3 linked regions of the Diceros bicornis minor genome follow. The protein of the gene in region 2 interacts with the protein of the main gene of each other region in a pairwise test. Links are inferred from orthologs where the notes say so. Each region holds a gene or a part of one and is shown on either strand. Other genes may lie near its edges.

Region 1 (10,157 bases), on a different chromosome or scaffold from region 2:
GAGTTATTCAAATATAATAACCAGAATTAAAATCTTTTACCTATATGGGGCAGAGTCCCATCCTTAGACTGATAAAAATCTGTGAAATCTGATTTATTTCCAGAAAGTCATATTAGCTTCCTTCTACAAGTGGTTGTAGGCTGGGGTTAAACGTGGCCAGCATTATTACAAACCAGAATGATTTAGACAATTAACTTCATCCCATATAACAAGATTTCAAAGACCAAATAATGTCCTCACTGATTTCAAGCAATAATCATTACTTCAAAATTCTAATGTCTTCTTTTATGAAATAAATATGTTTCTAAGAAGGCCTAGTTAGAGTGAATTTTTATATATCAAGTTACCGTTCAAAGGCACTAACTAGGAGAGCTAGTTCTTTCAAAGAAACCTGTAGTAGATTCTTTTATAAAGCAAATGACCTCCTATTTTCCTTTTTTTTTTAGTTCAAATTTTGTGTGTATGTGTGGAAGGGGCGACTTCGCTCCTTTCTCTGGATTAAAAGGGGTCAGAAGCCCACCATAGAGGAAAGTAATGCAGTATGGGCAGCCTGTTTAATGCCCCCTCCGTTCCTGGGACCAAATTCTAACCTTTGACTTGGGGGTGGGACCCTAGATTTTGGGCCAAAGTCCACAAAAGGCAGCAAGAAATGAAGAAGTAAGGAAGACTAAAGACAAGACATCATAGTAAACCACCAACAAAAATTCCTGGGGACAGGAAATCAATGGAGCACAATTCTAAACAAATTGGTTTAGGCCCAAGCTAATTAACTTGTCAAGCAGATCTCCAAACCCACTGAATCCATGGGGGAAAGAGGTGATGTAATAGAAGATTTGGGAACATTTACCCATTTACTATCCTAAAAGGCTCAGCCACGACCACACACACCTCTCTCCACCCCTTTCAGTGTGTTTAAGCTGGGCTTAATGGGTGCAAAGGACAATTTCTTCCAGACAGTCCCCAAGAATAGACTGTTCTCATGCATTCCAAATGCTCAGTCTCCATGGAGGAGGCTACCTGGTCACAAGCATTTCCCAAGAGGGACTATATCCTCTACTCCTCCTTGTTGGTAACACCCCCTCCCCAACAAAACAGAACAAGTTCTAACCATCCTGAGAACTTCAGGGGACTTTTTTGAGGGGGAAAGGAAAAGAAACCTTAAGAGGGGAGTAGGAGAGTGTGAGAAACTCCTCTTGTCTCCAAATGTAAAAAAGGCCTTAAAAAGCTGGATCAAAGGAAGAAAGGGGGATGGGGGAGAAGGGCTGCTTAATTACAAAGACACCCTTTTAAAGAAGGCGCAGGCCCTGGGAGAGGGCTCTTAGGAGAGGCATAGAAGCAGATGTACCCACTTAGAATTCTGGCACTCAATGGGACCTCAAGGTCATAGCATCCATCCCTCTGCTTTCTGAATAGACTGTTCTTAAGGCATTCTAGAAAGAGTCTGATCCGTTCTTTATAAAACTTCAGAAAAAGCAACTCCACAAAATGCCTTGGTTATGCACTAGTCTAATAACTCCTACTTCATAAACCAGCAATGAGATTTCAATTTCCAAATCCAAAACAGTATTGAATATGAATTTTAAAATTCCCTTCTAAAATATTTTAAATAAGTAAACAGATCCACAACTTTCACGTACAAGTTACTCTACACACGAGCATGGTCAGAGCTTTACTTCATATCGAGACTATGAAGTTAGAAAAAGCACTTTCAATTTTAAGGAGCCATAGACTTTTCCCAAGAAAGAAGTATCTTAAAATTAAGTATGATGTAGTGCCAGAAAGTGTTGGTAAATGACACCAGATAAATCCATACAGAATAGCTGGAACCTGAGTTATCATCTGTAAATAGATGCAACTACTCTACAACCACCTGGCTATTAAAATGTCCCAGGCCAGTTATAAAATGTAGTTTGGTCAGGACAACTTTTCCCTCCCAGCTGATCTGAAACACGATAGCCTTTAAAATTGTCACCCTGTAACGTTCCTTTTCTCCCTTTCTGCTTTCCTTTCCCCCATTAAAATCAATCAACAAACTTATTTAAAAATATAAGTAAATAATTTGTTTCCAAATAAGCAATGGATGGGGGACATCTTGGTAACAGGTCTTTGAACACCACTGTTCTTATAAGTTTGCCATGCTTGCCCAATTGGAGATAGGTGGGAGATGAGTGAAGATTTATCCCGAGTCCAAAATAGTGTTTCAAACTATTCTTAGCTACTAAATGAGGGTGCTGAAAGGTCTAACCAAGAAGGCTTCACAAAAGCTGGCCAAAGAAAGGACTTTTCACAAAGCCTAGTTCAAGGAGACTTAAATACCCTTAGCCCTCCATTATTGAAGATTATGGTGACTAATTCCTCTCTGAATGAGAGAAGAGAGTTACATTAAAAAAAAGTTTTCAACTGCCTCCCAACTTCTACTCTTCATGGGGGGAGGGGGAGAACTAAGTTGAACACTTCAAGGTGTCAGAAAATTCTAAAATACATGCTAAAGATTGGAAATGCTGTTTCTCACAAACTTTCCCTTTCCTCTCTCATTTAATTGTATTTAGTCCCTTGCTGCAAATTATTATTATATTATTATTAATGTCAATTTACCAGGGACTGCTCACAGTCTACAAAGACTGTCACTTTCCCTCTCTCACTTTGCCTTCTCTTCATTTTCATATATTGACAAGTTATCTTGCTGCTGAAGCACCTACATACAGTGACCCAGGCTTGGGACCCTCCAGACGTGTGCATGATCCCGCAAAACTAGTTATTAACATCTATAAACCAGAAAAGGGACAAATGCCTCCACATCACCACACACACACACACACACACACACAAACACACCACCAAAAAGAGTGTAACGCTGTAGATTACTCTCAGACTTTAAGACTTCAAGAATTCACGGGCCCCGGGGGAGGGGAGTGTGAGCCCCCACCCCAATCCTAAGCATTTAGGAGGAACGCATCTAGCAATTGGAGATAAGCAAGGACATTCCTGCTGAGCTAAATGTAGACCTCAAGTTCCCTCGGGTCTTTAATTCCTTTTGTGCTTAATTACCTAGAGATCTACAAGGACTCCAGGAGGGAAGATGTAAACGTACCATCAAGTAGTGGTACCCACTAGCATCTCCGTAGGACAGAAAAGGAGTACACACTCTTTAACCAATTTAACTTGCTGCACATCCCAGAAAACTCAAGACCAGCTGCAAAGAAAGTACAACACAGGGACATCCCCACACGCATCTAGATCGACTCACTCACGCCGAGGGCATGATCAAGTTCACGCCACCATGGATTCCTGCCCCAGTTCCCCGCGAAAAGTAACCACGCGTCTCCTACCCCTGAAGGCAACGAAGACAAGGTGACGACTCTCCGCTCGCTCAAGCGGCTTCGGGCCCGGGCCGGAGGCCAGGGATGGGCAGGGGAGAAGCCCCAACTCCCGGCTGCTCCCCTCCTCACTGCTCCGTCCGGGCTCTTCTTGGTGGCAGCGGACAGGCAGGATACCGGGCCGGAGGGTGGAGCAGCGGATGGTCGGAGGCGAGACAGACTGGAGGTGGGGGTGGAGGGGGAGGTGAGAACTAAGAGAAGATGAGGCGAAAGAGAGCAGAGATGGAGGAATAAATCAGGGGGTCTCCAGCTTGGGCAGCCAGAAAGCTCCTCGGAAGGAAGGGGCGTGACTGCGATGAAGGCAGCTCCTGGGCAAAGGATGGGAGGTAGGGGAGGGGGACGAATGGGTGGCTTTTCTTCTTGCGGTGAGCGGCTAGGACCGCCCAGGAGCGGGGAGAGGGGGTGGACTAGGGAGGGAGGCGGAGCTGAGGGCGGGGAAAGAAGGGAAGGAGCCTGCCTGGGCCCTGGGTAAGAGGGGGGATGGAAGAGAGGCGGGGCCAGGGGGCGTGGAAGTTTCAAACAATTGAGCGGCGGAGTGCGGTCGCTCGGACGAAAACGGGGGGACCTCGCTCTGGTCCTATTACTAACGTGGCACGACTCGGTTAAAGTAGCAATGAGAGTCTACGCAGGGACTGGCTAGGAGGAAGGGAAGGGTTTTGCAAAGACTACAAATAATAATCTATGGCAACAGCAGAGCGGAGGGAGAGCCAATGCAGCTCCCCGCCCCACAGCGGGAGGAAGAAAAACAAATAATAGAAATGCTGAAAAGCAGCTTCTAGCAAAGCCTGCTTAAAATAATGCAGGAAGGAGCAGCGCTCCTTGGTTTTCCTTCCCCTCTTGCTTCCTATTACCAGCAGGCCCCCACCCAGGTCATAGCTCTGCGAGACACCCTCCTTTCTTCCTCGGTTCCCCCTAGCCTCCCTCTTCCTCCCCCCTCCCCCCGCGTCCCCACCCCCCTCCCTGTGGCGGGCCGCGCTGGCGGCGGAGGTGGCGTGGGCGGGGCTCTGCGGAGCCTCCGCCTCTTGGGCGGGCTGGGGGGGGCCGGCCTGGGCGGAGCGGGCCTAGAAGAGTAAATCCCACCCATCTTTCTTTGGCAGCTACCAGTTGGCGAATCCTGGTCTAGGAATCGCTTGCGATTGGTCACGTGCGTCGTCGTTCGGCTCCTTTTGTTCCACCCGCCCTCAAAATTAATAAAACTAAACAAGAGGCTATTGTCTAGCTCTCCATTCTCCCCCAAGGTACTGCCGAGAAGAGAAAGATGAGACGCTCGGTTTTTTAGTCTCCTAAGAGTGCGACAGTGTGTCGGCTGGCTCCCGTACACCCTTATGGCACTATCCGGCCCTCTGAGAATAGGTAACTTTTCTTCCCCCCCTTAATTCATTAGGCCAGGAGGGGGAAGAAGTACGTAAAGTATCAATGTGGTGTTCACATTTCCTGGCTGCGAAAAATTGATACTGCTTAAGAACACAGAGGGTTGAGAACAGCATCCTGGGACACTGAAAATCTACCATTTTACATCTGGGAAACGAAAGCACAGAGAAACAGTGTAGGGGTAGCAGAGTAACATGAAATTTGGAGCTAAAGGAAGAACTCATTTCAGACTGGAGCACTTATCAGCTAGTTGTGAGACTTCTGTTGAGTCGCTTAACTTCTCTGAGCCTTAGTTTTCCTATCTGTAAATAAAGGCTATAAGCATGCCCTATTAACTTAATGACACTGGTATATGAAAATAAAATGAATTGTGTGTGAACACTCTGTGAACCACAAAGCACTCCACACATGTATGTGTTCCTACTTGTGTATGTCACATGGTGGAGAGTCTCATGTGTTTGAGAATCAAATATTCTCCTTATCTGTTTTAAGCATTTACATCCAAGGTGTATAGGTTTTGTGGCTTTAATAAGTCAACTCTTTTCCTACAGTTTTGGGGGTGGATATGAAGTTGGCTGCCTGCAGTTAGAAGAATAAATTACCCCTTTTCTAACCAGGGTGGGTGAGATTTCTTTTTTAAACAGTTCTGCAGTGGCGCCACAACCTAAATCTATTGTGGTGCTGGTACTGAAAGAGGAAATCGTGCTGTGTCTCCGAAGTGAACTTGAGAAAACAAATATGAGGGAACATTTACCATGGAAACCACCATTCTCTACAGATCCATATTTCCTAGAAAACGTTACAAGGAGGAAGCAAGTGTAAATGTAAAGGCCTTGACAAGGCAGAGCTATTATAATGAACTCAGGCCAATGAAAAAGTGACATTCAATTCAAGCCTGCTTAACAGGAGCCTTCTGAGGGTCCATGGATCAAGGCATGCAAGAGGAAGTGTGCTCAAAAGAAACACTATCTCAGCATGAACAGGGTCTCGGAATATAACCAGGTGCAGGAAAAGTAGTGGGCCACTGGCGTGTTGGGGGGTAGCCCCAATGTGCAGAGTGCTCTGCTGGGGCGGCTGAAAGATTCAGAAGCAGGAGCGTGGGCAAAATGGATTCTCGGAATGATTCAGCTTATGTGTGAGGTGAAGTTATTTGGGTGATTTTTCATGGGGAAGGTGAGATTTTTGAGTGTTAAAGACACGGAGACACTTGGTTTGTGAAGCAAGGGAAGATTATTCCAGCCTTGTTATTTGGAGGGGTGGACAGCAGAGCTAGATAGGATGGGTATAGGCTGCAGACTACTACTGATCACAATGGCAACATGATACTTGTTAAAATTAACAATGCTGTTAAAATGGAGAAAGTAAAATGTGCACAGGATAAAATTAAAACAGTACTGAAAGGAGCACAGTGAAGAGTTCCTCTCCATCACTCCGTTCTCGTAGTCCCTTTCTCCCTTTCTCTCTATGCCTGTACGCAATCTTCAAAATATATTATTTGCATACATGTATATATTCCATTTTTGCCCCTTACAAGTGGGATCATCAATCACAGCACACCTTGCTTTTCTTTACTCAACCATGTCTCTTAAATATCCTTCCATCTCAGGATAACTTCCTTTACCTCATTCTATTTCATGATAGCTCAGTGTTCCATTGCTTAGATGTGCCAAAATTCTTTTACTCATTCTCTTAGTGAAAGGTGATTTAGGCCATTTCCCATCTTTTGCCATTACAGAAGATGCTGGGAAACAAATCCTAGTAGCAAAGGCCCAGCGGCTGTGTTTGTAGAATGCTTGCCCCCAGCCTTGCAGTTGCCTTCAAAAGACTTTTCCAACCTGCCTTCCCCACAGCTACTAGGGCCTTCATACAGTGGAAACCCCTAAAACACTAATTCCTTTAATACCCCCTCCTCAAATCCTGCCTTGGTCACTACTGTTCTCCAAATTTGAATTTTGATAGAGTAGAGCGACCACAGCTCTGAATTTAATGGTGGACCAGGCTGCATGTGGGTCACTTAGCCTGTGGCAAACAACAGGTTTTTTGGTACCTCAGCTTTGCCCAGGTCTTCTAAGCGTCTTAGGTGTTCCTTCTCTCCTGCCACGCAAGACTTCCTTTTGTTTTTACCCTGAAAACCCTGCAGTTTGTTTAAACTGAGTTTGAATTTAAAGCTATGCTTTGCCAACTCTGCTTCAAAGGAAGGGGGAGGGGGAGGCCAACATCAACAAACATTGATAGAGCTGCTATTATGGACGGGACTGTAAAAACAAAGAGGGATGAGACTTGACTCCTGCCTTCAAGGGCATATACAGAAAAAGACAACTAACAAGCGCATGCTAAGTGCTAAATGAATGGGATTGACAGTAAAAGCCGTGGAAGTTGAGAGCAGGGAGTGAAAACTAGTTCCAGAGAGTGAGTTTATACAGCAAAGTATGCCACACACATTTAACTAATCCCCACAGCATCCCTGTGTCTTCATATCCTGACTGTAAAATATGGAGAAGCCTCTGGGGTATACCAGGAGAATTAACCACTAGCTGTAAAACACCTGTGTAAAGACACTGGGTTGCCTAAGTGCATTAAGAACCTCCCCAGGGGGCCGGCCTCATGGTTTAGCAGTTGAGTGCCCGCGCTCCTCTACTGGCGGCCCGGGTTCGGATCCTGGGTGCGCAGCGGCGCACCGCTTCTCCGGCCATGCTGAGGCCACGTCCCACATACAGCAACTAGAAGGATGTGCAACTATGACATACAACTACCTACTGGGGCCTTGGGGAGAAAAAGGGAAAAAAAGGAGGAGGATTGGCAATAGACATTAGCTCAGGGCTGGTCTTCCTCAGCAAAAAAAGAGGAGGATTAGCGTGGATGTTAGTTCAGGGCTGATCTTCCTCACAAAAAAAACAAAAAAGAACCTCCATATATTGATAATGGATATAATGATCATTTTAAGGTTAGAAGTCAAGAGTCTCCATCCTAAACTATCTGTCCTGTTTGGCTTTTTTTCAATAAAGTGCAATTCTTCCTTTAACATACAATAAAAATCAATGTCTGTGCTCTAAAAACAACAACAAAAAAGTCAATCAAAAAAATCAATGTCTCCCTTAAAAACATTATGCTAACTGAAAGAAGCCATTTGTCCACAAATGGACAAATATTGTATAATTCCACTTATATGAAATACCTAGAATAGGCAAATTCATAGAGACAGAAAGTAGCATAGTGATTATCAGGGCCTAAGGGGAGGGAGGAGTGGGGAATTTGTTTAATGAGCACACTTTCTGTTTCAGATGATAAAAAAGTTCTGGAAATAGATAGTGGTGATGGTTGTACAACATTTTGAATGTACTTAATGCCACTGAATTGTACGGTTAAAATGGTTAAAATAGTGAATTTTGTTATGTGTATTTTACCACAATAAAAAAATGTTTAAAGGTAACAACTCTCAGGCTCAGCGTCAGGAGACCAGACAGTGATGGAGGCTACTAAGAAGAAGGCAGGACTCTCATAAAGGGGGCAGCTCAGTCAACACCATGAGAAATGCAGGCCCAATGTGGCCAGGACTTCTGACTTTTCAGGAGAAACCACAAGTCAAATGTATTAATGTAAAATCTCCTGGTTAATAATTTAGATAACTAATAAGTGTTTTAATTAAAAAAAAAAAGTCTTCCCTTTGCGTGCAAGATTTTTGCCCAATATACAGGAAAAGTAGGAAATAGAACACGGCTTATAGTCTGTTCCTTAATCCCTGGCTAGGTTCTTCTAGAAGGAAAGACCACAAAATCATAGTGGTCTGTATTGAATGACATTCTCCCCCACCCACCAAGTCAACTGGGAGTATGAAATGAGCACATCTTCCTCTAATTGCCTGGTGAACAACTAAATCATTTTAATGCATTTAGAAACAAAAGCAGAGGCAAGCACGTACACAAGGGAACATAAATCCTAAGTATTTATGGCTCCACATAACTCTCCCCTCCCTCCCAAAAAAAAACACCCTGCAAATGTATCAGGCAGACACTGAAAAGCAGACTTCTCCAGGACACCTCCTAAGTCAGTTTCCTATTTATTCACAAGGATGCTAGACCTGCACATGCAGAAGCCAGCTGATCAGAGAATATCAGCTTTATCTGAACAGGAAAGGAACAAAGGGACACATATGCAGTACAAGCATTGAGTTAAATACTCTTCCTTTTGGATCCCCCACCTCCCCCCTTTCCACCCTTCCCAAGCATATAAACACACACACATGCGTGCACACGCACACACACGGTCCAGACACAGGAAGTTTGAAGCCTGATCCATGTGTGGAAAACAGCAATGTGGGAATTCAGGAAACAACACCAGAACTGTGCTCCAAGGCCAAGACCTGCTCCAGCATTTGGGAGCCAAGTTACTCCTGGGGTACTTGTGGGCCCCAGCATTTTGGAAGTAAATCGGCTGTAGAAAAATAAAGCTGCCTGCAAGTCTATTCCCCAAGTACCTCCTAGGGTCCTGTTTGAGTAACCTGGGTTCGCCTCTTTATGATTTATGCAGGGCTTCACTTCAGCTTAACTAAATACCATATCTCCTTCAACAGCTTGAGTTTCTGGAAAGGGCCAGACTGTCCATACTTCTCAATAGGGTTTGTTTGCAAAGTCTTAGGTTAGTTGGAGCAAGAGGGAGGTAGGGAGACTGAGGAACACACATCAAAGTCTACACTGTAAAAGGTGGTGCGATGAGAAGGAGAATATGATTTAGTCAATGATAAAAAACAAATCACTGAAAGCAAGTCAGGGGGAACTCAAATTCCTGAGCCAGTAGTCCTTTAAATGTACAAAGTTAACAGGATTTAAAGGAAGTTCATCCTCTGACATTACTCGTTGCAAATAAACTCTTGATTGATTCGGGGCTCTCTCTGTTTCTGTAGTTGCCAGAGTGTCTGAGAGTTGTTATCCCAGTTGGAGGAGAAGAAGGTTGTGACTGGAGCAGAGATTTATCTTCTCTGGCATGCTGCCCTGCTTCAGGAACTACAGGAAGAAGGTAGGTCAATGCCATTTCGGTGTGATTTAAGGCAGGCCCACCTTGCAATCCCTAATCAGCCTTCTCTTCAGGTCTGCCACGGTCCTGTGAGATTCACACAGGAAAGACCCTTATTAAAGAGCAAATATGTAACCTGGGAAGGGTTAAATATTAAGCCATCTTTGATGTGCTCTGATGGAAAGGGTATAGACTTTTGGAGTCACTCAAGCCTGGATTCCAATTGCAGCTCCAATGAGGTAAATTACTTAACCGCCCTGGGCCACAGTTCCCTCATCTGTGAAATGGGGTTAATAATTTCTCTACCTTGAGGGGTTGCTGTGAGGATTAAATAAAATAACATATTTAGAGGCCTTATCATGATGCCTGCATTCAGTAGCCACTTAACACAGTTTATTT
Region 2 (9,671 bases):
GACACACAGCATTGGTGCTAAAAATGTAGCGTAATGGGGATAAACAAAGGACTTGGAGAAGCCAAGGGAAGGGATAATTACACCCCCCACCCCCACAGCAACCCTTCTTCCTGCATTTCTCATCAGGCTGAACAGCCCTATGGTCTTAGTTAAAACTTGGAACTCCTGGGGCCGGCCAGGTGACATAGTGGTTAAGTTCACGCGCTCTGCTTCAGCTGCCCGGGGTTTTCAGGTTCAGATTCCAGGCATGGACCTACCACCGCTCATCAGGCTATGCTGTGGTGCCACCTCATATACAAAATAGAGGAAGATGGGCACAGATGTTAGTGCAGGGCTAATCTTCCTCAACAAAAAGAGGAACATTGGCAATGGATGTTAACTCAGGGCCGATCTTCCTCACCAAAAAAAAAAAAAACTTCAGAACTCCTCCCTCTCTCACTCTTCACAAGTATATCCAATTGGTTTCCAAGTCCTTCCTATCGATCAGAAAAATTGGTCCCCTTCTCTCTGCCCCCCACCCCCTGCCCTTTCCTGGGTTCAGACTCTGATCAGCTTCTCCCTGAGTTATTCAACAGCTTTAAGAAAATAACATGTTTATTCACTTATTTATTGTATAATCAACACATATTCTCATAGAAAAATTAGAAAACACAAGTGGATTAGAAAAATTTACATCTAATATCACTACCATGATAGAACCCCAATTTGATTTTTATCCTTCTAGATTTTCTCCCATGCCTATACATATAAATATATATTTACAAAACTAGGATCATCCAATAACTTTGGAAATCTTTTTTCACTTCATGTGTTCTCTAGATCTTTCTATTATAATAAATACACATCTACATTATCATTTTTATAGATGCTTAGTATTTAGCTTGTTTCCTAGTCCTCCCTGTGATAAACAAGGCTGAGCTGGGATGAACATGTTTGTGGTACTATCACTGTGCGCTTGTCCAACCATTTCCTTGGGCCCAATTTCTATAAGGAGAATTACTGAGTCAAAGGAAGTCACATATTTAAGGCACTTGTGCATATTAACAAATCATCCTGTAGAAAAGGCTCTTGGCTGGTCTTCGTGCTAAGTGTAGAGATGACACGAATTAATAGTGACACAATATTCCATTTACATGCTTACTAACTCCAACAAATTATGCCCCATCATTCATATGATAAGGTTTGCGGCCTGTCTGCTTGAAGAAAGGAAGGGCCCCCCTTGAGCTTCCTATGGGGCAGTGTATGGTGGACAGCAGTTTTCCCATTTAACAGTCATCTGGATTAGTTCTTTTTCACCTTGCCCTCATGTCTTCATAACTACCTATGCCCCCATCAGACATCCCTGGAGGGGCTTCTGTATCTTTAGATCTGAGTTCAGATTCAGACCTAATAACTCCAGGCTTCGTCTTCTCAAAGTCAGAGCCAGCTCTGCAAGTGAGTATGGTGTGTGAGCTGGCCAGCCTTTGGGGGAGGCTCCTCCAAGGGCAGCTGGCTCTTTGCCGTTTGGTACCCTCTTACCTCTGTTTCCCAGCACAAGTGCCTAGCACATGGTGGATCCCCAGGAAATGTTTGTGGAACAAATGAATAAACTTACCATTCTATCTCTAGCTTCCACTGCTTTCCTATCATGTAAACTCATGACACATTAAAACATAACTATGCCTTAGTTTCCTGAAGATAGGTCTTAATCATCTTTGGATCTCAAACTTCTGGCATATAATAGGTTTTCAATTAGTGTATGGTCTGCTGTTCATTTCATTCCCTCTGCCTGGAGGTCTTCACTCAGCCCTCACTTCAGCCAGGCTCTAGACTTTGCTGAAATCTTAGCTGTCTTGAAAGGGTCAGCTCAAAAATGCCACCGTCTTCCTTGGTTACTCCAGCCAAAAGAGTAATAGCTGATATTTTTTGCTAAGTGCTTTACATATATCAATTCTCAACCATTCAAGTTAGATACTATCATCCCCATTTTACAGTTCAGGAAACAAAAGTAACTTCTCCAAGGTCAAACAGTAGTAAATGACAAGGCCGAGAATCTAACTCTGCATTAATGACCTTAAAGAAAGTGTCCACAGCCACTAAACTCTACAGAAGGTATCTTTCTCTGCACTACACTCCTTGCATATCTTGGTCATAAGGTTAGTACAGAATATGTCACATCATCTGCACATCTCCATATTCTACTGGACCGAGAGCTCTCTGAGGAGTTTCTTTGTATTTCCAGGGCCTAGACGGTGTCTAGATATTGGTTGGTGATCAATTAAATATGTATTGATTGATATTATGGTCCCTGTTTCTATCAGTGTCTAACATCCATACATACCAGGCACACAGAGCCATGCAGGCTCATTCCCACAGATTAGAACCTTTCCTCCTCTCCCACACCATCTTGAACAGATCCATGTAACTCTCATGTCCTCACAGTCCTCTATTTTTCAGGAATTGTGTGCTTGCCCCTTTAAACTGGTAGCACTCTAAGAACAAATCTTACATGTGTTTGATCTCTTTATGCCAAACTGTTGGCTTAGCACTGAGGTGCTAATAAATGTGAATTAATATATAAACCTCTGCTACCCCTCTCCATCATTAGACCGGCTGCAGGCATTTCCAGGCACTCCCCTCTCCCCAAAGGCAACTTGGGATCATGCTTGTGATCAACTTGTGATCTGCTGGAACACAGCCCCAGCCAGGGCCCCACCAAGCTGGAAAAGAGGGTTTAATGTTTCAGCCTCTCCCTGGGCTTGGCCTTTGTAGGGCTGTGGATCTGTCCCTAGCCTCCCCATGGCCTTTTTCTTTGTGTTTCTGTCTCTTTGTCTCTGCTTATTTCACTCTTTGTTCCTCTGCCTCTGAGCCTATTTCTCCCCCGGCTCCCTGCCTTTTCTTATAGCTCCTCTGACTCTGCTTCGATGACTTTATATTTCTACATCTCTGTCTCTGGCGGCCAATCTTTTTCTCCTGTATTTTCAGTCTGCCGCTGTCTCTCGGTTTCTCTCTGCCTTTGTGTCCTCTCTGACTAAGGGCTCCTAGGTTATGACTTTATGTCTGTGAGTCTCTATTCTGGGCCCCAGGTCTGATTCTATCCGCCGGCCTCTTCCCAGCATTTATCTGGCGCCAGCCACTAGCCTCTCCTCCTGCCTCGGTCTCCCCGAGCCCAGCCCACCCCCGGCCCCACCCCCAACCCTCGGCCTCTCGGACCGGCCCCGCTTTGTTTCCAGCGTCTCGGCGCCCCGCCCCCGCCCCGTCTGGGGTCTCCGCCGCCCTCTGCCGCCCTTTGTCTGCCTTGATCTTTCCCCCACCCCTTTCTCTGGGTCCGTCTTTGGATCTCTTTGTCTCTCCAGGCTGGGGTGGCTGGCGCTGTCGGCCAGCCGGGGAGGTCGGCGCAGGTAGCCCCACAGGGCGACCATTAGGCAGCGTCTTCGGCCCTCATCACCCAGCTCTAGCCCAGGAGGCACACGGTTAATACCACCGAGTTCGGGCAACTGTTCCTCGGCTTAGAGTAGCCCTCTCCGCGGCACGCGGCCGCCCGCCAGCCACCGAGCTCGGGAGGACGGGAGCGGCCCCCACAGGCGTGCGGCTCCTCCGAGGTCCTAGAGCGGCTCGGTGCGGCCCAGCGCTTCCGCTTCCCGTCCCCGCCCCCGGCGGCCGCCCCCGGGACGCCTGGGTCCGAGACCCCTCCCGATTTGGCGCGGATCCCGCGTCCCGGAGCCGCCAGCGGCTCGGGCACCGGAGCCCAGCCGAGGAGCTCTGGAGGGCACCGGCGTGGCGGAGCCGGTGGTGGCCGGGAGGTGAAGGGGCGGCTGCGTGCCGGAAGGAGCAGCAGGTGCAGTGGCGGACGGCGGCGCAGGCGGGGGTCACCAGGCGCCGCGCCCCGCACCTCGGACCCGGACGCTGCCCGGTGTCCGCGCCGGTCGGCAGAGGGCAGCGGCAGGGCGCCGCGGGCCGCACATGCCTGTGTGACCGTGGGATTGTGTCTGTCTCCTTGCTCAGGGCGGCGTGCTGGCGATGGAGCGCGCGGTGGAGCCCTGGGGCCCGGATCTCCATGGCCGGGAGGAGAGGGAGCAGCTGAGAGGCGCCCGCACAGGTGAGGGCGCGGCGGTTCGCCGCCGTGGGCAGGTAATGGCTGGGTGGGGACCCCGGTGTTGGTTTTACCTGGCCGAGACCCAGAAAAATCGGATATGAACTGTGCTTCCAGAGAGAGAGGGGGAGGGGAGCAAAGGCCAAGGGAAAGAGCCAGTGTTTCTGAGAACCTACTGTGCGCCAGGCCTTAATGGGCGTCATCTCAAGGATTCTCCCCTTCCCGGACAGTCATCACCATTCGCACTGCCTCTGCCCTACTTCAAGCCTCATTCTGTCTCATCCTGGCAATTGCAGCAGCCTCCCCTCAGCCCTTTTCTTTCCAGTGATACACTCTACAGCCACACTGATCTAAGTCCAATCTAATCCTGTCTCCCTTCTCAAAAACCTTCCCTACCTCCCTTCTGCCCACTAATTAAAAGCCTTACCCTAGTGTTCAATCCAGTCCTTACATGCTTAATCTAGTCCCAACATCCCTTTCCAGCTTAATCTTCCATTCCTCTCCATGGTTTACTCTTTTCTCTGCTGTGAAAGCCCAGCCTTGTCTCCTTATTTCCTCTCTCATGACAGCACAGTTATTCTGAGCCAACAGTTATAATTACTTATGCTTTATTTTATCTCTCCTACCAACCCCAAGCATCTTGAGGGACAGGTGTGTGCTGGGTCCTCTCAGATACACACAAGATGATTGAAGTAACAAATTACAGAATGGGCTAATATGAAAAGATAAAATATAAATAGCAAATACTAGTTTTTCCAAATAGAGACAATATAATGTAGTGGTTAACACAGGCTTGGGAATCAGACCTGAGTTAGAAACCTGGCTTTGCTACTTTCTAGCCTTTATAACCTTGAGCAAGTAACTTAAATTCTCTGAGTCTTCATGTCTGTAAAATGGGGATAGTAATAGTATTACCTCGTAAGATTGTTTGCAAGCATCCAGTAATGCTTAGTTCAGTGATTGGCACATATTAAGGGCACAGAATAAGGAAGTTCTATTATTAATAAGAGGCACAAACAATAATAAGTGCTTCAGAAGTTCGGAGGTGAGAGAGTGAGAGAGAGCTTTGTGACCTCAGATTGTCAAGGAAGCCTTCCTGGGAAGGTTGCTATGGAAGATAGGGGCTGAGCTAAAGGGCAGGGTCTACGACTTCCTTTTCTTTCCCCAGGTCTAGGGAGTGAGAATGTGGAGCTTTCTCACCCGGATGAGTTTGAACATACCCCACAGGAGGATGACTTGGGGTTCAAGGAAGAGGAAGATTTGGCCCCAGGTCATGAAGTAGGAAATGCCTCTCTCAAACCGGAAGGCATCCAGACCTGGGATGACTTGTGGGTCCAGAGAGAGGGGCCAGGAAAACCTCAGGCTCGGGACAGAGGCCCCCGGCTGCTGGGAGAACCACGCTGGGGCCAGGCTAATGATCGGGCTGCTGTGTGTGGCGAGTGTGGCAAGAGCTTTCGGCAGATGTCAGATCTAGTGAAACACCAGCGGACCCACACAGGGGAGAAACCCTACAAGTGCGGGGTCTGCGGCAAGGGCTTTGGGGATAGCTCTGCCCGTATCAAACACCAGCGAACTCATAGTGGTGAAAAACCCTACAGAGCCCGACCACCAGCCCAGGGCCCCCCAAAGATTCCTCGATCCAGGATCCCTGCTGGTGAGCGCCCCACTATCTGTGGTGAATGTGGCAAGAGCTTCCGGCAGAGTTCTGACCTGGTGAAACACCAGCGGACACACACCGGCGAGAAGCCCTACAAGTGTGGCATATGTGGCAAGGGTTTTGGCGACAGTTCTGCCCGCATAAAGCACCAGCGGACACACCGGGGGGAGCAGCCACCCCGGCCTGTGATGCCCCGACGGCAGCCATCTCGAGCAGCCACGGCAGCTGCACAGGGACCTAAGGGCCAGGACAAGCCATATATCTGCACCGATTGTGGCAAAAGGTTTGTGCTCAGCTGCAGCCTTTTGAGCCACCAGCGCAGTCACCTGGGGCCCAAACCTTTTGGCTGTGATGTGTGTGGAAAGGAGTTTGCCCGGGGCTCAGACCTGGTGAAGCACCTGCGGGTGCACACAGGAGAGAAGCCCTACCTGTGCCCTGAGTGTGGCAAGGGCTTCGCTGACAGCTCTGCCCGGGTCAAGCACCTCCGCACCCACAGTGGCGAAAGGCCTCATGCCTGCCCGGAATGTGACCGCACCTTCAGTCTCAGCTCCACCCTTCTCCGCCACCGCCTCACTCACATGGAGCCCCAGGACTTCAGCTTCCCAGGCTACCCTCTGGCCCCCCTGATCCCCAGCCCACCCCCCAGCTCAAGCCCACCCCCACCTCCTCTTGGCACCAGCCCCCCGCTGACACCTCGAAGCCCTTCACACTCGGGTGATGGGCCTTTTGGCCTGCCTGGTTTGGAGCCAGAGCCTGGGGGCCCACAGGCTGGGGAGCCGCCCCCACCACTGGAGGGTGACAAGCCCCACAAGTGCCCTGAGTGTGGCAAGGGCTTTCGCCGAAGCTCAGACCTGGTGAAACACCATCGTGTGCACACAGGGGAAAAACCCTACCTCTGCCCTGAATGCGGCAAGGGTTTTGCCGACAGCTCAGCCCGCGTCAAGCACCTCCGCACCCACCGTGGTGAACGGGCTCGGCCACCACCACCATCCACTCTCCTGAGGCTGCATAACCCCCCTGGCACCGCACCCACAGCCCCCCGACCCCGGGTCCGGGCCCAGCCCTCTGTACCCAGCCAGCCCCATGTATGTGGCTTCTGTGGGAAGGAGTTCCCCCGGAGCTCAGATCTTGTCAAACATAGGCGCACACACACTGGGGAAAAGCCATACAAGTGTGCAGAGTGTGGCAAGGGTTTTGGTGACAGTTCTGCCCGAATCAAGCACCAGCGTGGGCACCTGGTCCTGAGGCCCTTTGGGACAGGGGATGGTCGGGCAAGGCCGCTCAAGGAGGAGCCACTAACAGGACTGGAATGATGGGGTCTAGGGAGGGTGGAGGCCCAAGAGACCAAAGGGAGGGTATCTGCTGCTTAAGCAGAGAAGAATGGGCCTGGGAGGTAGTGGGGGGGAGAAGGAGGGGAAGAAACGGGAAAAAGGAGTGAATAGATAGAAATAGAGATTGGAGACAATGACCTTGAAGCTCAGGAAACTGTCCTGGCTGGGCTCAGGCAGGACCTTGCCAGTGTGGTCTATACCCCCAGCTTCTAGAACATTGCCTAGTACACAGTAGGCACTCAGATACATTGAATGAATCCACTGGTCTTAGCCTGAGGGCCTTTAACCCTAAATTACTGCTGCCTCTTAACCAGTTAAGAATTGATCCCTCCCAACCTTGCCCCTGGGAGACCGGCACCTGGAACCAGGGTTTGTTTGACCTTATGAGCTGCAACAATGAGACTTCTGGAGTTTAGGGTGACAGAATGAGGCAGGGGCATCTTGATCATCCTTCTGATAGGGAGAATATTACTGTGTGGCAGGCAGTACCCAGCCTCAGGACACTGGACATGGTCTTAGCCAGAAAGGGTGCTCTTGGACAGAGCCCAGACCTATCTGCCCTGGAGAACCCCAAACCACCTTGACACCTGGACATGGCAGCATAGACCAGGATGGCAGAAGGAGCACTCATCTGCTCCGAATGCCAAGCCCAGGTCCTTCTGGTGGATATCAGCAGAAACAAACTGGCTGGGAAAAGCGGAGGACTGGAGTGAGGAGAGGCCAGAGAAGATCCAAGGCCCAAAAGCCACATCTCCATGTGTCTCCTCACCAATAAACTGCTTCTTGTCTGAGGCTTGGACTCTATTTGTGTGTGAGTGCATGGTGAAAGGTGAAAAAGGTGAATGGTCAACACAAGTGAAACCCATAAGCCATGTGTAAACTTGTGTGGGTCCCTTACCCTCTTTGCGCCCGTCAAATACAGAAGTTCGCTTGGCATAGTCAGCCACTTTCTAGCTCTGACATCGGCTTAAAAAACGGCCACCAAGTCTGTCAACTGATGCCCCTGACCTGAGTTCTGGCTGCTCACAGGCGCCACCTATGCCACAGCAATGAGTGCGACCCTTAAAAGGGAAAACACGCGACGCCACGGGGTGGGAGGGGTGCTCAGTGAGCGCTGTTGCTATGGCGACAGGTACCGGGAGAAATGTGGCCGGCCGGTCTGGTACAGGCGGCCGGTCTGGCACAGGCGCAGAAGGCCCGGACACTGAAGCTCTGCGTACTGGGAAACGCCACCTCCCCGAGACTCTTTATTTGTCGAGAAACAGGTCATTTGGCTGCACAGCCCAAAGGGAGGGCAAAGGGGATGCCTCTTCGTCCCCTGGAAAGGGTAACCGTATTTCCCAGCGACCCGTGCGTCATTAGCAGGAAGACTCCCAATCCTAGCCTTTTCCGAGGTGGGCGCCAATAGGGGGGAAGGGGAAAGAGGAACTGACCTGATTGGCCAGGGACAAAAAAGACTAGGGCGTTCACCCCTCTAAGAAAATAAGTACAGGATCGCTTGGCAACTTCTCGGTCGGGGTGTCTCAGCTAATCTGCGTACAGGAATGGTCCCTGGATAGAAGCTCTCGCGAGATCTTAACCATCGGACGCTTCCCTAGAAACCAATGAAAACCTGCTGCCGTGCGGTTCCTCCTGGTGGTCCCACCCCTGCCAAATTATACACACTAGAAATCCAGAATTTTTCGTTCAGGCCTGGGGTTCTTGGCGGCTTCGGTCCTTAAGTGCACACACACCCCTAGGCCTGAATGGAGGCCTTTTGAGCCTTTGGAAGATCCTCTCTGCTGGTTTCCGTGTCTCCCTTCCCTACCAGGTCAGTCTCCAAGCCGTTCTGCAGTGAACTTTGTAAAATTACATCTGACCATGTCACTCTCCTATTAAAAACCCTGCCGTATCTCGGCATATCTTCTCTGTAAAATGCAACTCCTTAGTTGGCATTCAACGCCTTCCACTTGTGAGGTTTCAGCCCTGTGCCTCTTAAATGTTTCCTTTACACACCCCACCCCCACCCCACCCCTACACACACATTTGTTGACCTCTCCAGTCAAAATACCTCAAGCATTACTTCCTCCCAGGAGCCTTCTAGCCTGGGTTAGAATCTCCTTCATCTGAGCACTTAACACATGGAGACTTCTTGAGGATAATTATTCATTCATAACATCATTACTCACTGTGTGCTATGTACTAGCAATAGAAGGATGAATAAGACAAAGTCTCTGCCCTCAGTTTTTATGCAGAAGATAGACATTGAACAAATAATTACTAGTGTAGTAGGGACTATGCAGGAAGCATACATGCAGGAAGTTTGCATGCAGCAGAGAATCCTGTGGATCAGAGAATCCTGTGATCCAAAGTCCTCTCCAAAGAAGTGGCAATTATGTTTAGACCTCAAGACTGACTTGGAGTAAGCTAAGAGAGGAGGAGGTGGGAGGTGGGATGGGAGATGGACTGTCCTAGGCAGAGTGAAGAGTATGCACCAAATCCTTGGGGGATTCAAGAACTGAAGTAAAGTTTCAGTGGGGCTGAAGGCATAGAGTGAAATGCAGAGTAATGAGGAGTAAGCTGAAGACTTCCAAATTCAACGTTTTACCTCCCAGTCCTAACAGGGGCCTGG
Region 3 (10,289 bases), on a different chromosome or scaffold from region 2:
TTCCTTGACTGCCCATGCCATTTGCAGAGTTACGTAGCCCCCGGCCTCTGCAGCCAGCGCAAAGCCCCAGCCAGGCACCCAGGCCAGCCCTCGCACCTTGACGATGCGCCGATACGTCTCGTTGTGTGAAGCACTCTCAAAGGGCGGGTTTCCCACCAGCAGCTCGTAGCAGAGGACTCCAATGCACCACAGATCCACCTTTTCATTGTGTGTGCGCCCCTCAATCATCTCTGGGGGCAGGTAGTCCAGGGTGCCACACATAGTCTTCCTCCTGGGTGGGGTGGGGTGAGTAGGCAGGGACCCCAGAGGTAGATGGCCTCTCCTTTCCCTGCTGCCCGACAGGGAGCCAAGAGACCCCAGGATGCAGCAGGGGAGTGTTACAGCCAGGCTCTGACAAGGCCTTTCAGGTAGGAGTGGGGTGAGGCTATAAACCAAAGCCCCAGAGGAGGGCTTACACGCTGCCTCAGCGTTTCCACACTGAAAAATGGCTCTCCAAATAATCAGATACGAGGGCACTGTTCACCTTAGAACTAAAGGAAAAATTGGGGACATCTCGGATGTCCATCAAGCATGCCCTGCTTAAATAAATCAGGTCACATCTCTACTATGCAATACTATGAAGCCATTAAAGATGATGTGCGAGTGTTCTCAGTGATATGGCAAGGGGGTCCCAAATATATTGATTAAGAAATCTGGGCAACAAAACTGGGTCTCTTATTTTGTAAAGATATTGCTGTGTCTATGTTTACATGAGGCCAGACCCAAATGTCTCTGGGTAACAACATGTGGAGTGGTTTTATTTTGAATGTCCCAGCCTCATACCCATGGCTGGCCTCCTGTCCCACCGTACCTCAGGGAGGGCGCGTGCACCGACCAGCCAAAGTCCGCAATCTTCAGCTCTCCCTGGAGCCCCAAGAGCAGATTCTCTGGCTTTATGTCCCTGTGAATCACCTTCTTCCCGTGGCAGTAGATCAGAGCATCTGCCAGCTCCTCCATGATCTGGGAGGGCCAATGACAGGCGATTAGACAAGGATGGACCTCTAGCTGCAAGCAGCGTACCCCTAGCCTCAGGCCCCCTGCCGGCGCTCCAGGTGCCCACCCGCCCCGACCGTGGCTGTTCGCTGCTCGTCAAAAGTGCGGCTCTTCTGCAGCTCCTTGTAGAGCTCCCCCCGGGGGGCATACTCCAGAATCAAGTAGATCCTTCGCCGGTCGTAGAAATAATTGTAGAGACGCAAGATGTTGGGATGCCTGGGAGAAGAGACAGGAGGGCTGAGGCTGCATCCTGGCATAAGGAAATGGGAAAGATGACAGGTCTCATATGGGGCAAACTGGGGTCAGACGTGGGCCAGGCCGGGGACACGAGGGCTGGCCCTGGCAAGGGGGACGTGGAGACAGCTCTCTGGATTGAGAGCTCAATGGTGCTAAATGGCCACAGCTATAGGGAAAACTCTAGATGTGGTGGGGTTGAAAGAGCTGGGGGGAGGGAGCAGGGGGCTTGGGCTCAGAGGGCGTTGGCCCGTACTGCAGATGGGCCTGGATTTCGATCTCCCTGCGCAGCTGGTGTTCCACGCCCTCCTTCTCTATCTGAGACTTGAAGAGGACCTTGAGTGCCACGATGAAATGGCTCTTCTTCTCCCGAGCCAAGTACACATTTCCAAACTTGCCTTTGCCCAGAGGACGCCCAATCTCAAAGTCATCAATCGTGAAGGACCGCCTGATTAGAGAGTGGGGGGAAGGCAGCTGAGCACTGGTTTGTGGGTTGCCTGAGGTGTTTGCTTTCCCCCTGCCCTTCAGCTCCATTTCTCTTTGAAGGAAGTTGAGAATGGATCAGGCTTTCTTGCCCCCGCCCCCACACCTCCTGCCCTTAGCTTCTCCCTCCCTCATCTCCTACCTGTTCACTGTCTCCCTCTTCTCTTGCCGCCCCAAGGCTTGGGCACTTACATTAACAAGTTGGGCGTCCCACTGCTGTTCTCCACCACCTTCTGGCCAAGGGCAGCTTGGAAAGAACAGTTAAGTTGAGGCCCTCCCTTGACATTTTCATCCCTGCACCCTCCCCGTAGACTCTAGTCCTCTCAAGTCAATCCCCTCCCCGCTGTTGCAGTTACCTGTGGGCTGGGCATTGGAGCGGCTCATGAGGACAAGTGCAGATGGGGTGACAGGCTCCTTCCGGAGGACTCTCTGGGGCAGGGTGTTCAGGCCAGACTGAGCCTGAGAAGGAGCAGGAGGGAGCTCTGAGGGTGTCTTTGTCTCAGCGGCCGGGTTGGAATGTGCTGCAAGCAGCATTTCAGTGCTTTCTATAGAGCCACCCACCCACCCATCCCCACCTCAAAGAGGAACACTGAGACAACAATTTTGCTACTCAGCCCCAAGACTCTGCTCAGAGCCCCATATTAAAATGGGTTCTTAATAAACAACATAAGTTGGCCCAAGATAAAGAGCAAAGGACTTAACGCAACACTGAACATTTCACCTCTTTGGCCCTGGCCCACACCACATTCTCAGGCATGAAGCTGTCCAACCTCTGTAGTCCTGTCTGCAACACCACTCATTTACCCAGCCCCCACCCCTGGGGGCTGCAGAGGGCTGGGGTAATGAACACCCACAATTCAAGGTGCTAAAGCACAGAGGCATTCTCATAGCCCCTAAAAAGCTCAGTCTATTAAGGCTTACACAGGGTCCTTGAGGCCTTGAATGTTGCAGCAAATATCAGTATGTACCCCTTTGCAACATCAGGCTTTAGGGACGCTGAAGGCTACTGTGATGGCCTTGGACCACTTCTCACATTCAACTTCTGAGTAATATACATAACTTCCTTTTGGGAGTGACCGAGGTAGAAGTGACAATGGTTTCTCATTCAGCCTCCACTCTTGATAGCCTCACTCAGTGCTCCACAAGGGAGGGAACTGGTGGACACAGCGACAGACGGATGCTACGGGAGATCTAAGCCCCACCAACAGGGAGCAAAGCCTGTGCAGGGCCCCTTCTTTCTTCTTTAGCCAAGAGGGGAAGAAAGCCTCAGTGCCCCTTCAAACCTGTTCCCAAAGAGTGGTATTAGAACAGAATTTACAAATAAGCAAGTTGAACAAAATAGAGTCCAGAAACAGACCCACATATATGTGGGAATCTAATATATATAAAAAAGGTAGCATTTCAAATCAGAGGGTAGACTCTTCAATGAAAGGTGTTGGGACAACTGGAAAAGAAATCAATTTAGATCCTTAACTCACACCAGTCATTAAAATAAATTCCAAATTATTTAGACTTGTCTTGAACCTGTTAAACTTATAAGTTTATCTCAATCCTTCACGAGTCTATTTCTATGTCCTGCCTAGCCTATTTTTTTCAGGACAAAGGTTGGGAATCATGGCCTGAAGGCCAGACCCTGCCTGCTCTCTCCCAGATATCATTTGTATATGACAAGTAGGCTCAGCCCTGCAGGGGTCCTCACAGGCTGGTCAGATTCGAGTTGGCAGCACCTGACAGGATGTGGCTGCAATTGCCCAGACTGGGTTCGGCCAGCAAACTTTTGGGGCCCATACGTTGGAGCATAACCGAGAAGAAAGTGCTTGGAGGATCGCCCTCTGCAGGACCTCGAATCTGGAAGTAGGAACTCGCCATGCCGGTTTGGGGGGAGCGGAAGTGGGCATGCCCTTACCGTCTGCCTGCCGTAGGGCCAGGGGTAGGCGTTCTCCTTCTGGGCCATCCTTAGAGGGAAGCGGGGAGGAGAGCTGGGCAGAGAAAGGAACAGAACCGTGAGAAGCAGAAAAAAGGGAGCGAGAGAGGGAGGGGTCGGACCCATCTAGTCGGAAGCGCTTGCCTGGGGCTGGTGAAAGGGAGCAAGTCTACACGCTGGCCACATCAGGGCGCACCCGGGCGCTCGCCTGGCCGCCCCCGCCCTGCTACCGGCCCAGCCCCTTCCAGGACCCTCTCTCCACCCTTGAGCGCCCAGCAGCCGGCGGAGTGCGCGGGCCCGCCCAACGGACCCCCGACCTGCCTGATCACCTGCCCTCTCCCGGCGCAAGGCCTGCGAAAGGAGGGCAGCTCACCTGGAGCCCGTGGCACAGCCACTCTCCTGGCCGCTGGCAAACGACTCGCCCTGCCCAGCCGCGCCCCTGCCGAGTTCCTTTCAAATCTCCCGCCCTGGTCCCATTGGCTGAGCGGGCCGCCCATGTCCAATCCTCATTGGCTGGATGTCCCATGACGTAGCCCGCGGGGCCCCAATGGAAGAGACGAAATGCGAGCCGCAGCCAGCTCATGTTCCGGATTAGAAAAGTTTCCCTTATCCCACGATCAAATATTCTCATATCTTTCAAAAAATTTTTTGAATTTTAATATATCTGGAATCTATCCTTGTGTATGTATGATCTAGGGTCTAACTTTGTTTTCTGCCAGATGGAGAGCCAGTTATGCCAGCACCATTTGTTAAACAAACGACATCATTCCCAGCGGAATTTAAATGCTACCCTTGATATATTGTCGTCGTAGATAGTTGGATCTATTTCTGGACTCTGTATTCTGTTACATTGTTTGTTTGAAGGTATGTTTATTCTTGTGTCATTAATATTTTGTTCTGTAAAGTCTTTCACTCACTTTCCTAGTAGGAATTTTCCGTCAGCGGTCCTTTCTCTGCAGGTCCCCTGACCAAGGCCGCAGTGTTTGGACCGACTGTCACTTTTCTCCTTCCTGCCACGCTCCCTTCTTCTCTGCTCTTTCCGAGCCCAAATTTTATTATTGGGTTAAATAAATACATTTTGAGACGTTCTATGAAATAACTAGTGGATATTTGCAAGTATTGCCTGTCCAGTATCCTTCCTATTACTTTGAATAATAACACCCTAACTTTGCTTTAGGGCAACCACCTGTCTGCCTGTTCTGTGTTGTCGGTTTCTGTTGCTACCGGCCCCAAATCCCTAACTTGATGGGAGACCTATTGTGGTGGACACTGTGGTTCCCTACCCAGCGTCCATTCTCCCAGCGATTCCTACTTCCTGAAAGCACCTCAAGTTTTGGGTCTCAGAGGGAAGCTGACTCCATCCCAGGTCCAGGAGTGGACCCTGTCTGATTTACAACAGTCAGCACCTTTTATGCCAGGATCATGGTCACTGGTTCGGGGATAAGCATGTGAATTAAGTGGGCCAGTTAGTGGGAATTTTAGGATTCTTGTCCAGAATGCTGAGCAGAAACTCCTTTTCTCCTGCTGGAAGTGGGCAAGGAAGCATGCAGCCCTCATTGTTGCTGGTGGTGCTCCTGAAGGGAGCAGCCTGAGAATGAAGCTCACATTGCAGAGGGGAGAAGAGAGGCCTGGGAAGAACCCGAGACTTTGAGGACATTGTGGAGCCTCTGGATGCCTATTTCAGCACTTTCCTTACATGAGCTAATAGATTTCCTTCCCTAATGCATTAAGAGTTCTGTTATTTGCTGTCAAAAGCATACCGCTAAACTAAAAGATAAAACAGCCAGTTATTTTACCAGCAAAATGGTTTTTTTCAGGAACAGCAAAGTATTGCAAGTTGGGACAAGCAAGCTATAGCAAAAGCCATAGGCAAGGCCAACAATCAAAGAAGAGGAACATTATTTTATAAGGAAAAAGGAGGAAATTAGGAGGGGCTGTTTTGAATGCAAGTCCATTAGAGAAAAACAAAAGTTCAGAGTGATGATGGTTTCTCATTGGCTGAGTTGCTCCGTAGTCGATTTCCGTTTGGGATGAAATGTTTATTTCTTTGGGTAGAGGTCTGTGATTGATGATTTTTTCTGTTAGACTTCTTTCTGTTGGGGTCTGTAATTGAGATTCTTGCCTGTACTTGTACTTGACCTTGAATGGTACTGCATGAGAACTCCCCCTTCTGGCTTCCAGACTCCATTTTAAATGAGGTTTCCCTTTATTAATTTTCACAATACTAACTGACACACATCTACAGACCTAGAGTGTTCTTAGTTATTTAGGTTGAATGATGTGAAATTGCTGATAGTCAATCATTTTGACCTACAAAAGATACCAATTTCATATGATTCAACCAAATGTAAATCAAATAAGTCCTTATGGGTTTCCAGATCAGTTCATAATGCTTTTGGCTGCAAGTAAAAGAAAACTCAGTTAACAATGGCATAAACAATAGGGATCTATTTTCTTTTCCATAACAAGAAATCAGAAAGTTGGTAGTTGGTTAGGGAACAATGTTAGAGATCTGGATTGGCCTCTCTCTGATTCTCTTGACATTTCCCTTATGAGTGCAAGATGGCTGCCAACTGTCTCTGTCTCTTTTATCAGGAAAAGCAGAAACCTTTCTACAAGTACCCAATAGATTTCTCATTGGCCAGAATTGTGTCACATGACTGCTGCAAAGGAGGCTGGTAAAGTGAGTGAGGCTGGTAAAGTGAGTATCTCTTCTAGCCACTATGGTTAAAGCAGCAAGGGAGTGTGGTGGTAGGAATACAAGTGTGCCGCAATTGCTTATAATTTCATTCTGGGGACCCCATGATTAATTTAAAAAGTCAGATATCTGTGCATGATGAGGTATCTTCAGAGATTTGATGATCATGGCCACCCTGCTGCCATTTGTGAAAAATCATTTTACTTCTGGAGGTACACTGTTTTCCCTTAGGGTCAGCTTAACCCCACTTCCCAAGATCAGGGAGCCCATTTCGACTGCGGCACCTTTATCTACATACTTGGCATAGAGGGACTAGCCAATGAAGAGCTTTATAAAAATTCTATCCCTTGCAGTATACTTTATTCCTCAAGCCCTAGTGAAGGGAGACTTTTCTGGAACCTATAAGGTGAAATAGTACATGGGTGGGATATACCTGATTGATCCAATACAGTATCTGTGTCCCCTGGAGTCTTTAAATTCTTGCTTGCACATTATGTTAGAAGATATTTGGCCTTTCAGGAATATTTGATGGGCCAGCATAAAATCAGGATTTGCATTACTCATAAAAAACCAAACCAAACAAAAACTATCTGTTCTATCAGCTAGGCAACTATCAGCTGCCTGTTCAAGTCAGTGAACAAAACCTCTGTTATTTACCCCAGTGCTTCTCAAACAATCCGTGGGGAAGGACCAGTCTTGATTATTTTCAATCTATCACAGATCAATAATGTTATAAAATACACTAAAAATGAATTCCTTGAAAAACGAAATCTAAAAAATATAAAAATTACAATCCCACATTTTTTGGTATAATCAACGTATATAAAAGTACTCTGACAAATGCTGGAGGAGTTTTTAAATGCTTACTCTCAAATTCTAAACTCATCTTGGACTTGAAAGAGACAGTCCATGAAGCGGCACCAGTCTGTGGACCACACTTTGAATACTACCAGTCTACATCCATAGCAATAAATGCGGCCCTGCCCCAAATTATGCTTTGCTCTCCTTGGTCAGGCACACTCAAAACCCACTCTCCTGCGGATATTCCCCGGGTTTATAATGATGTAAATTAGCAATTTCCTCTGAGTGTAATTCTTTTGTTTTTTCCTCTTGCTTTGCTTTTTGCTTCCCAGTTCATGTTAGATGTGGATTCTGGCTACTGGCCAAGTAACAATGAGAGGTATCAGTGAGGGGGGATTGTCACTGTTCTCCTGCCAGGGCTGAATTTTCCTGTGACTGGGAAAGGTCAGAATGTTTCGTGTTCCGAAGGTCAGGCAGGATGGCTGGGATACTATAATGTTTGTGAGGCACAGATGTCAGCCTCTTTTATTTCTGACAATGGGACAACTCAAGAAGAAATTTCAAGACATGAATTTTCATCATCAGCCAATAAGCCCCTTCCAGGGATGAGGAGTAGACTCAGAAGGGTCTGGAAGGGGCTTGCTGGGGAAGCCTGGCTAATACCTCCACGTCTTCCCACTAAGTTGTCCTCATTAAGGTAAACCTGAGGCAATGCTGCTGAATTAAGTAGGGTGCCCTCCATCCAGACTTCCCTGAGCCTCCCCAGGTCAAACATCATTGCTGGGGTTTGCTCCTGGCTATTAGGTCCCAAGTGTTGGTCGTTGGTACAAACCACAAGCCTGGACCAAATGCGTCCCTGCCACAATGGCTGAAGCCTGAGGCCCTGCCCAGGTCCATTTATGTGTCCTCAGAGATTGGATCAGCAAGGCCAGTGCCCCTTGCCAGGTGACCAGACAACAAGCCTGTACCCTATGCCTTTGAGGCATTTTTTAAAACTTTTTATTGAAGTATACATACAGAAAATGTATAGCTGGATGAATTTTCCTAAACCGAACAACCCTGTGTAACCAACACCCAGATCAAGAAGCAGAATGTTTCCGGCACTTCAGGAGCCCCCTCATCCTCCTTTACCAGTCACTATCTTTCCCAAGAGTAACCACTATCCTGACTTCTAACCCATATACTAGCTTTGCCTGTTTTGACCTTTATACAAAAGACCTTCATACAGTATGTATTCTTCTGTCTGACTTCTCTCATTCAACATTATGTTTGTGAGATTTACCCATGTTGTTGATGTATTGATTTTTAAATATACATGAACATGATAAAATTTACACAGGTTAGTTCAAAGTAAGTCTCTCTACCAACTCTAATTGCCTCGTCCTCCACTCCCATCCCCGGAAGCAAACACTGTCATCAGATTCTTGTGTGTCATTTCAGAATCCTTCTCTGTGTGTGTATGTGTATGTATGGTTATTTTGTTATCAAAATGATTCATGCAAACAAACAAACGAACAAAAAATGCAGAGTGATTGTAAAGAGGAAATTGAAAGTCCTCAGTCCCAACCAGAGGAGTTAATCAGAGGTAACTCCTGCTAACATTTTCTCATATACCCTTCCAGAACTTTCCTATGGATATTAGTCTATGTCTGTCCTTTAAAAATTGTGCAGCCATATGTACAAATATCGAATCATTATATTGTACACTTGAAACTAATATAATGTTATATGTCAATTATACCTCAATAAAAAAATTGTGCAAATGGAATAATACACCCATTGTTATCCCATTTTTAATCTGTCAATTTACCTTGGACATTTTCCCACATTAACACAGTCAAATATACCTCATTTTTATTGCCATATAGATTCTCTTGTATAGGGAAGGGGAACAGACAGAAATGGGTGGTGTCCATCAACTGATGAATAAATAAACAAAATGAGGTAAATCCATACAATGGAATATTATTCAGCTATAAAAAGGAATGAAGTACTGATCATGCTACAACCAACATAGATGAACCTTGAAAACACAGTGCCACCTAAAAGAAGCCAGATACAAAAGGTCACATATATGATTCCATTTATATGAAATATCCAGGATAAGCAAATCCATAGAGAAAGATTATGTACTGGTTTCCAAGGACTGGGGAGAGTGGGGAGCAACTGCTTCTTTATGGAGTGGTGAAAATGTTCTGGAATTAAATAGTGGTGATTGATGCACAACTGTGTGAATATACTAAAAACCCCTGAATTGTACACTTTAAAATGGTTAAAATGGTAAATTTTATGATAAGTGTATTGTACCACAAAAAATTATGAAATATCTCAAATATCAAGAATACTCTTTAAAAGCACTTGTGTAATTACTACTCAATTATTCAAATCTTAACATGATTTGCCATATTTGCTTCTGATTTTTTTTATGAAATAAAAGACATACAGGTGAAGCTCCAGTATAAAATTTTAAGAATTAAGTCTATGCATACTGTTTCTCTACCATTTTCCTCTATCATCTTTTCTCTGAAACTCCTCTTAGAGTTACATCAGAGCTTCTAATTCTATCCTCCACATCTTTTAGCTTGTTTTTTCATGTTTTTTAAATCTCTTGTCTCTCTGTTATGTGTTTTGGGGAATTCTTGAGCTCTATTTTTGAAAAAGCTAAATTTCTCTCAGACTGTGCCCAGTTTAGAATAAAATAGACTTATTTTATTATTTCTGTCACTCATGTGTAAGATTTATAATTGGTCATTTATATATCCATATAACTTTATTTAACTTGTCTATTTTTCTTTCATGATTTGAATTTTGTAAGTGAAAGTATTCCTTCATTTATCTTTTTATGTATCCTCATCATACTTACTTTAAATTCTTTGTCAGGCTGCTCCATAAACTTATTTTCACCTAGAGTGAATCCATGTCCCAGTTATTGTCTCTGTCCCAATGACTGCACACTAATCCTGAACTGTCTTCATATGATTTGGGATTTTGGTTTGTGACTTCATCTTGGGTGGGAGATCTTTTTCCTTTCTCTCTCTGTCTTCGTCTTCACCTCTCCCTGACCTACAATTTGGCCACTGCCGTTACCTCGCCTCCTCGCTCCCAGTTAATGATCAA

Evidence for each region.
Region 1: the proteins of SEPTIN1 (region 2) and AMOT interact in binary tests that used the Homo sapiens proteins (3 or more experiments, as listed by UniProt). The two-hybrid records come from large-scale screens. The link is inferred for Diceros bicornis minor from reciprocal best matches to the Homo sapiens genes SEPTIN1 and AMOT.
Region 3: the proteins of SEPTIN1 (region 2) and AURKB interact in binary tests that used the Homo sapiens proteins (3 or more experiments, as listed by UniProt). The link is inferred for Diceros bicornis minor from reciprocal best matches to the Homo sapiens genes SEPTIN1 and AURKB.

What each region holds. Positions count from the first base shown.
Region 1 is NC_080781.1:104,578,648-104,588,804, forward strand, and holds the start of AMOT (angiomotin), read right to left. Parts: upstream 3,720-10,157; 5' UTR 3,330-3,719; intron 1-3,329.
Region 2 is NC_080765.1:21,501,450-21,511,120, reverse strand, and holds the start of SEPTIN1 (septin-1), read right to left. Parts: upstream 3,945-9,671; coding exon 3,872-3,944; intron 3,818-3,871; exon of another isoform or gene 3,742-3,817; coding exon 3,532-3,741; exon of another isoform or gene 3,434-3,531; coding exon 3,158-3,433; intron 1-3,157. Other genes in the region: ZNF48 (zinc finger protein 48), read left to right, coding at 4,000-4,078, 5,241-7,042. UniProt on the Homo sapiens protein: Filament-forming cytoskeletal GTPase. May play a role in cytokinesis.
Region 3 is NC_080757.1:10,203,679-10,213,967, reverse strand, and holds the start of AURKB (aurora kinase B), read right to left. Parts: upstream 3,720-10,289; 5' UTR 3,704-3,719; coding exon of another isoform or gene 3,656-3,703; intron 3,033-3,655; 5' UTR 2,731-3,032; coding exon 2,718-2,730; intron 2,271-2,717; exon of another isoform or gene 2,209-2,270; coding exon 2,106-2,208; intron 1,997-2,105; coding exon 1,892-1,996; intron 1,715-1,891; coding exon 1,523-1,714; intron 1,249-1,522; coding exon 1,110-1,248; coding exon of another isoform or gene 1,100-1,109; intron 1,000-1,099; coding exon 851-999; intron 272-850; coding exon 97-271; intron 1-96. UniProt on the Homo sapiens protein: Serine/threonine-protein kinase component of the chromosomal passenger complex (CPC), a complex that acts as a key regulator of mitosis.